2 linked regions of the Rhinolophus ferrumequinum genome follow. Each later gene encodes a partner of the first gene's protein in a complex. Links are inferred from orthologs where the notes say so. Each region holds a gene or a part of one and is shown on either strand. Other genes may lie near its edges.

The links.
Region 2: the proteins of RAB1B (region 1) and TBC1D20 are in contact, whole or in part, in a crystal structure (PDB 4HLQ), measured with the Homo sapiens proteins. The link is inferred for Rhinolophus ferrumequinum from reciprocal best matches to the Homo sapiens genes RAB1B and TBC1D20. Residues at the interface, in NP_112243.1 of Homo sapiens: Ser17, Gly18, Ser36, Tyr37, Ile38, Ser39, Thr40, Ile41, Gly42, Val43, Asp44, Phe45, Gln60, Trp62, Ala65, Gly66, Gln67, Arg69, Phe70, Thr72, Ile73, Tyr77, Glu94; in NP_653229.1 of Homo sapiens: Gln97, Gln98, Leu101, Asp102, Arg104, Arg105, Leu107, Arg108, His141, Tyr142, Tyr143, Gln144, Gly145, His147, Asp148, Phe177, Met178, Asp179, Pro180, Thr181, Met182, Lys186, Val212, Ile215, Leu218, Ser219, Thr223, His227, Met272, Ala273.

What each region holds. Positions count from the first base shown.
Region 1 is NC_046294.1:5,650,035-5,653,941, reverse strand, and holds the start of RAB1B (ras-related protein Rab-1B), read left to right. Parts: upstream 1-1,184; 5' UTR 1,185-1,313; coding exon 1,314-1,327; intron 1,328-2,986; coding exon 2,987-3,059; intron 3,060-3,348; coding exon 3,349-3,444; intron 3,445-3,557; coding exon 3,558-3,653; intron 3,654-3,907. UniProt on the Homo sapiens protein: The small GTPases Rab are key regulators of intracellular membrane trafficking, from the formation of transport vesicles to their fusion with membranes.
Region 2 is NC_046306.1:23,384,424-23,388,330, reverse strand, and holds the start of TBC1D20 (TBC1 domain family member 20), read left to right. Parts: upstream 1-1,018; 5' UTR 1,019-1,194; coding exon 1,195-1,264; intron 1,265-1,478; exon of another isoform or gene 1,479-1,707; intron 1,708-3,907. UniProt on the Homo sapiens protein: GTPase-activating protein (GAP) specific for Rab1 and Rab2 small GTPase families for which it can accelerate the intrinsic GTP hydrolysis rate by more than five orders of magnitude. Also shows GAP activity for RAB18 GTPase.

The sequences.
Region 1 (3,907 bases):
CCGTTGCTTCTGTATATAGAGAAATAAGTTATTGGCCGCGCCCCTCCCCTCAGTCGACTGTACCGCCCGGGTCTCCCCTCCCTGCCCTTCTCTAGTGGTACCGCCCAGGCCTTAATCACCCCTATTCCGCGCGGTGGTATCTCCCAGGCTCCACAACACATCTTGGGGGGGGCCTTCCCAAAGGGTTCCCTGGGCTTTCTCGCGCTCCTCCCGGCCTCTGAGGGGTGCTCCCAGCCCCACCACTGTCCTGTGCCCCAGGACGGAGAGCCCTCCCCTGCCCGTCTCCTTACCGCCGGGCCCTGCCCTGCATCCCGGCCTTATGCACTGCCCCTCCCACCCGACCCCGCCCAGGCACGGCCTGATCCCGCCCCGGGCACTGCCCGTGGTGCCATCCAGCCACACCTCCCACGCCTGCAGCTTCTCGCGAGGGGCAGTGATGCCCCACCCCGTGATAGGAGGGGCTGCCCAAGTTGGGGGGTAAGGTGGTCGCTCTCTATTTTCAAATGCTGTAGAAATAAAGACGGTTTGAATCTGAGCCAGGCTTGTTTTGGGGCTGAGGCCAAGGGTTCCCAGCGTCTCTAGTTTGGGGGTGGGGTCGGAAAGGCTGCGAGTGGGGTGTGTGTGTGTGTGTGTGTTGTGTGTCCACGTCCTGTCCCTCGCAACTGGAGCCCAGATACTCCCAACCCGGAATTGTTAGGGGGCCCCACAGGTTCAGGACCTAATAAGCTTCATCTCAGGTTCTATAGACTGCGCAGGCTTTGAGCTCTGTCCCTCACTAAGCTGACCTTGAGCGAGTTACCGACTCGATTTTTTCATATACTTTAAAATGTATGATGACACCTGGGGCTTCTGGCTGTTAGGAACGCCAGCACCCTGGATAAATGAACTTTTACTAATGTTCATAACTCAGTGTTGGGAGGGTAGGGATAACTACCTCTGTCAGATGTGAAACGTATCAACCCCGGCCCTAAATTGAGGTCCCAACGTGGGTGCGCCGTCAGGTTCCAGAGCGCAGTTCTCAAGCCCAGGTACGTCTAGGGAGCGAACTACAAGCCCCAGAAAGCAATGCGCGGCGATGATGGGGAGTGGGTTCTCCGAGCTTCGGGCTCTTCGATTTGCGCATGCGCAGCCCGGGTGTGTTTGGCAATGTGAGGAGACTACAAGTTCCGAGAAGCTAAGCAGCGAGGCCCCAGTCGAGTACGTTTGCGCCTGCGCGTTGCGGGCGGGGCTTCTGGGGCGGAGCGGCCACCATCTTGGAACGGGAGGCGGAGCAGAGCCGACTAGGAGCGACCGAGCGGGCCGCCGCTGCCGCCATGAACCCCGAATAGTGAGTGAGCCCCGCCCGCGCCGTGCGGCGCAGCCTCGATTCCGAGTACCGGGCTGTACGCTTATCGGGGTTGTCCGGCCCGGGTCAGGACTGCGCGGCGCCCCCACATCCGGGTCCCTCTTCCTCTGACCCCCCCCCACATCCGGGTCCTGCCCCTCCCCCGGGGTCCCCAGGACCCCAGCTCCACACCCCGAGATCTTGAACGCTGGACCCAGAGACTGCGACCCTGAGGGGCGCCACTTGGAGCCCGAGGCGCCGACCTTGCCAGGCCTTATTGGTCAGGTGACCCCTCAGCCCCGGTCTCTCCAGGTCTCAGTTTCCCCACTTGCTGGTTGAGAGTGGTGGTCTGGGTGCTGACAATGGTCTCAGCTTTATGAAGCCCGTCACCACATAGTTCCTGATCTCAGTCCAGACTTGGGCCCTTTAGGTCGTGCCGTAAATCTTTCAGTTCTTCCCGGTTCTCCCGGAATCCGGTTCCTGGGGGTAACCCAGGGGCTGGTTAGACGCGGGAGGCCCCGAGGCGCCGCTCTGTGTAGCTCGCCCGCAGGTCCTCCCCTCCTGGGCTGCCGCTTTGCCCCTTGCCTGGATCAAGTTGTCCGCCGTGGGCCCCTTCCCGTCCTCTGTTCACCTTTGCTCAGGCCCCCAGCGCCACCGTCACACCCCTTCCCTTTGCTGTCATAGTGCTGATGAAGTTTAGATGAATCGAGGCATTTGCTTACCCCGTTCCAGTGGGATTCTCTGTTCCTCTCCTCACTTCTTGGTCACTCCCCCTATGGGTAGGTGGCCCACATCTCTGCCCAAGACTTCCCATTGACAGTTTTTCCCAAGTGCCCCGTTATCATCCTGCTCCTCTTCCTCTTCCTCTTCTTCCTCCAGGCCTCAGATTTCCTTGGGGAAGGGTGAAGCTCTGAGCTGGATTCTAAGGGGGAACAGAGAAGGGAACTGACAGACTCTCACAGAGACTTGGGAGTCTGAACCTGGTTTCCAGTCTTAAAGTTAGACGCTGGGTAAACTTAGGGCAAGTCACTTCCTTTCTCTGACCTCTGGTTTCCTTATTTGTTGGGAATAACAACACCCATTTCATTGGACTGTTGTGAGGCTTAAATGAGATGATGCATTGAAGTATTTAGCACTGGGTCGGGCACAAGTAGGAATGCAGTACATTTTAAGTGATTGCCATTTGTTAACCACCTCTTCTTAGAGGTTCCCTACCAGGCTCTTTACATAGATGATCATGTAATAAGTTCTAGGCCGGGCCCTGACTCCCACTTCTGGGGCTTCCCCTGCCAAGGCCGGTACGCCCCAGGGCAGTGTAGTAGGATGGGTTCCCTACACAGCTCCTACCGGGCCCGAAACCGTGATGCCTGTCAGGAATGGGTACGATACCCAGCACTGCCTCCTAGCTCACTGTGATCCTCAGCCAGTCATGTCCCTTTCTGTGCCTCAGTTTCCTTCTCTGTAAAGTGGGGATTCATCATCAGGCCTTTTGGGAGTGGTCAACTTGCTCCTCCAAAGACTTGTGGGGGGATCTTGTGATTGCGTGCGTACCGTAAACCCAGGCACCCCTAATGTGCCTGGCGAGTGCCATCACTGGGACTCCAGGATGATGGTGGGAGGGCTCCCTGCCTTCCTTCACACTTTCCCGTCCTTTCTCTCCAGTGACTACCTGTTCAAGCTGCTTTTGATTGGTGACTCGGGCGTGGGCAAGTCATGCCTGCTCCTGCGGTTTGCTGTGAGTAAGAAGCCTCCCATACTATCCATCTGGGGTCCTGGCTGGTGGCTGGAGGGAGAGGGGGCAACCCAGAGCCCGGTAGTAGCAAGAACTGGGGACCAAGGATGAAGTTGCAGGACCTGCCGGCACCGTAACTGACTGAACAAGGGCACCTGGCTGGCCAGTTAGGTGCTGAGACCTGGGGCTCAGTAGTTAGGAGCTTTGCTGGAGCAGGACACTTGAGGGAAGTGTTCCAGCTGGGCCTCAAGCCTGTTCACTCAGGCCATTTCCCTGGCCCCCGGTCTTCCAGGATGACACGTACACAGAGAGCTACATCAGCACCATTGGGGTGGACTTCAAGATCCGAACCATTGAGCTAGATGGCAAAACCATCAAACTTCAGATCGTGAGTGTCGCGCTTCCCAGCATTCCTGGTGCAGAGGCATCCACCTTGAGCGGGGAGGGGCTCTGGGCATGGAGCCCAGGGCTGACCTGCCCTTCTCTGCCCCTGTCTCGTAGTGGGACACAGCTGGTCAGGAGCGGTTCCGGACCATTACTTCCAGCTACTACCGGGGGGCGCACGGTATCATTGTGGTGTATGACGTCACCGACCAGGTACTCCTGGCTCCCCTTCCCCAGCTTTGCCCCCGCAGCCTTGGGTCTTTGGCTCTCGCTTCTTTTTCCTCTTCCCGTCCTCTCTTCCGAATGCGGCCTAGAAAGGAGATTGGACTCGGACTTGTTTCACCAGGAGGGAAACAGCACAGAAACGGGTCCTCTCGGCCCTGCTGCAGGGTGGTGGCAGAGCCAGGCCTCGCGCCTCCCCACCAAACACGCCACCTTATTTTAGGCCTTCCAGACACCTGTGTTTT
Region 2 (3,907 bases), on another chromosome or scaffold:
AAAGGAATTTAATTAACCAATTTTATTAATGGGACCAAAGTCCCATTAATAAGTGACTGTTATAATTTACTAGATTTATGAATGGAGTTGTAAAATTTGTCAGTTGGAATTAAGAAATAACTTTGGGATTTCTAATTTTAATAAATTGAATATTAGTTTTAAAAATCAAATTATCTTCAGAGTGATCTTTTTTGCTCATGAAAGATACCCAGAGGACCTTTTAAAAAAAAAAAAAGTTACAATATAATGCTAGACCATGGAACCTGGATTGAACAGGATGGGCATGAAACCAAGGGGAGCCAGTAGTAATGGGTTGTGTGCATTGCAGATTTCGGAGAATAAAGAACTGTTATGGTAGGGGTCATCCAGCAACCATTATCATGGGAACTTTGAGTGGGGGGAGGTGATGCATTGGAGATTTGTAAAGTGGGGTAGTTTCTGGCAATGACAATAGGGGTGTGTGTGACCGAGGGAATGGGTGGCCAATTGGAGAGAAAGGGCTGTCGCTGGAGACGAGAAGATGGTCAAAGACCTCAGCCAGATTCTCATTTTGGAGGCGTGGCCAGTTTTGTACAACTCAAAGGGGATCACTGCTCTCGTAATCATCTATATGAAGGGCGCCTCCCGGCGTGGGGCAGTGCACAGCCTGCGGAGCCGTGTACGGAGGTTCTGATAAAACCCCGAAGTAGACAGGAGTACGTGTGGGAAGGAGAGACGGGAGGTATAATCCCTGGCAAGCAAAAATAATAGCTCATAATTATGGCGTAGTTACTATCTGCTTGGTAGTATTCTACGCACTTTCCCAATAACTGAGTTCAGCACTTTTATTATCATCAGTATCATTATACAAATAAAAGCAAAAGCAATGACAACATCTGGTCCTGAACACACTTGTTCAAGAGCGCCACGCTCCACAGCTCAGATGGAAGTCTCCTGGCGCGCTCCCTGCGCCCTTCCTCAGCTTACCGCGCCTGCACGCGTGCTCCGGAGACCGCCGCCCGCCCCAGCGTAGCGAACGGTCACGTGTCGGCACCGGGCTGGGGCCCGCGCGGGGATGCCTACGCGCCTGCGCACCGCGGGCGACCGAGCGGAGCCTGCCCCGCGGAGCGGGCGGTGGGTCCCGCGGCCACAGCCGCGTCTTCTGGAGGCTCCGCCACCAGCCGGAGCTCGGGCCCGAGTCCGGGCCCCCGGGACATGGCCTCCCGGAGGGCGCAGGGCGACGGCCTCACTTCCAGCCGCTGGGACGGCAACACGGAGAAGGCAGGTACGGAAGCCGGCCGGGGCGCGGAGGAGTGGCTTGCGAGGACGGCCTGAGGGGCAAAGGCGGCCGAGGGGCAGGGGACAGCTGTCGGAGGAGAGGGCCCGTGCGCAGGCGGCGCCTGAGGGGCCGCCGGCTGAGGGGGCCCGGCGGCGACTGCGCAGGGTGCGCCCCGGGCCGCGGGCGGGGTCGGGACGGCGGGAGAGGAAAAGGCTGGAGGAGAGGAGAGCCTGGAATCGGGGGGTCAGCGGGTGATGAGACCGGAAGAAACCGGGGGGCAGAACCGCGTCCCCAGTGAAACGGACAGGGTGGGGGGACTCTGCTTTCGGCCTCGTCTCGCCTGAAACGGAGCATCGGGTCCCTCCGAGAACTCAGGCCAAGCCTCAGCCGGGGCCTGAAACTGTCCGGCCACGTCCGCAGACTCCTGGTGGCGCCTCCCTAGTTGTAAGGCAGGTTTCCCAAACTTCATTCATCTGTCGCCGGCTTCATTTACGCGGTGTGCATGCCCACCTATTTCTTTTAATTACCATAACATACACCCCTTTCAAGTGTACGGCTCAGTGGTTCTTAGGACTTTCACACGGTCGTCCAACCATCACCGCTGTCTAGGTCCACAGTGATAATTCGGGGGGGAAGAAAAAAAAGGCTGTTACCTCCCATTCCCCAGTCTCCACCGCTCCTGGCAGCCACTCATCTACTTTCTGTATCATGCCTGTCCCACCTATTGTAATGTTATTTGATTGTGTAAAAAGCGATTTTCTATTTTTTAATACCGTTTCATCTAAGCAATAATTTGTGTGAAATCATGGTTTTGCTGTGCACTGTATTTTCAACTATATTTTACATATAATTAAGACATGACAGTTCAAGTTATTGTTTACTCCGTACCAAGTAAAACAATCTGTTTTTCCTCTGGAGAAGACTAACGGAGCTTTCCCACCTTTCCCTCCTCTAATGGGTGGTGCCCAGAATAGAACCAGCAACATATTCAACCCATAAGTTTCGATGCAGCATCCATTCACATCTTGTTTCTCTGGTCTCATTTTCTTTTATCCTCTTTTTCTCCTATTCTAGTCCTGGATGGAAGTGGAGCTCACTCATATTACTTCTCTGGGCCCTTTGGCCTTGTAACCCTTTGCTGGTGTTTGTATGACATCTGTCCTGGTGGCATAATAGTGTCCCAGGTGGTATGGGTCCTTTGACCTGTTGTAAGTGCAACTGTGCCTAAGTTAAGAGACTTCACCCCCCACCTAGTTTCCTTGACTTTGCTTCTCTGAATGGATTTAGAAAACGGTTTTTGTTGTTGTTTTGTTTTTTCCTGTTTGTTTTTAATCATATTCGCAAGTTATTAATACTAGAAGCTCTCCTTTGTAGAGTTTATGATCAGATTGATTTACTCTGTAGAATATTTTTCTCCGTTTTGGGGGTAAAGCTGTCTTAGCACATACTTGTCTTTATGTTTCCAGTAGTTAATGAATCTGCTAGTTCCAGTACTGTTTGTTGAAACTAAATAGAACCTTCAAAAACAGAGGCTACTTTGTTTTATTTTGTTTTTAATAGGAGCCTTAGAAAAAGGTAAGGTTTCCCTCTCCCATTGTCTTTCCAGTACAGATATGAAGTTCAAGCATAAAATTTTAAGTTAATTTCCAATGTCAACTTCAGGAGTTCATAGGGGTGGGATAGGAGATCTCTCTCGCACGTTCTCTCCCTCTCTGACTAGTTCTTCCATTGTTTTGATTAAGACTAGCATTGCTTAGTTTGAGTTTAATGTCTATTGACTGCAAAGCTTTCTTGATAGGCAAGATTAAACCAAATAATTGGTATGGAATTTTGTATTCTCACATAAGATTCCATTATTAAGTATATGGATCTTCTTAGCTGATGTAAGTCACTAATATGTATTTTGGAAAAATACGTAAGGAAAAACTTTTAGAGGAAGCATAGCTAGTGTTGATCTTTAGTCATTGTTCTTTCCCTATATGTTTAGTTCCCCAAGCAGGTGCTTTCAGAGATACCTGTTGTTCTGAGGAGGCAGAAATCTTTACCTTGCTTCTGTAGCCAGAATTGGGGAAGGTTTGCGACAATAATGGGCTGAACCATCATTATCTGAGCCGTTCAAGAATTGCTTCAGTGCCTCTTATTAAAATGATCATTTTAATGGTGAGCTAGCCAAGCAGTATCTATATCATTTCTTTTTCCTTTGTTGAATGAATTGCTTTTTCAGGCATCAGGGATTTACTTACAGCAGTGTCTTGTATTTTGCAGCCAACTGTAGGATAGTCATTTCATTCTGTCACAGTTATGATAGCCCAGACCTTTTACTGTAAAGGAATTTGGAAGATATCAACTTTGGAATATGTAAAACCTCTCATATAAGTCGGGCAAAAAGAAATTGGAGAAGAAAGGATTCAGGGATTTGTATTATCACATATATGCTACCTCCCGATGAAATGTGGGCTTTTTTTTTTTTTTCTTAAGATTTTATTGGGGAAGGGGAACAGGACTTTATTGGGGAACAGTGTGTACTTCCAGGACTTTTTTCCAAATCAAGTTGTTGTCCTTTCAATCTTAGTTGTGGAGGGTGACGTTCAGCTTCAAGTTGTTGTCCTTTCAGTCTTAGTTGTGGAGGGCGCAGCTCAGCTCCAGGTC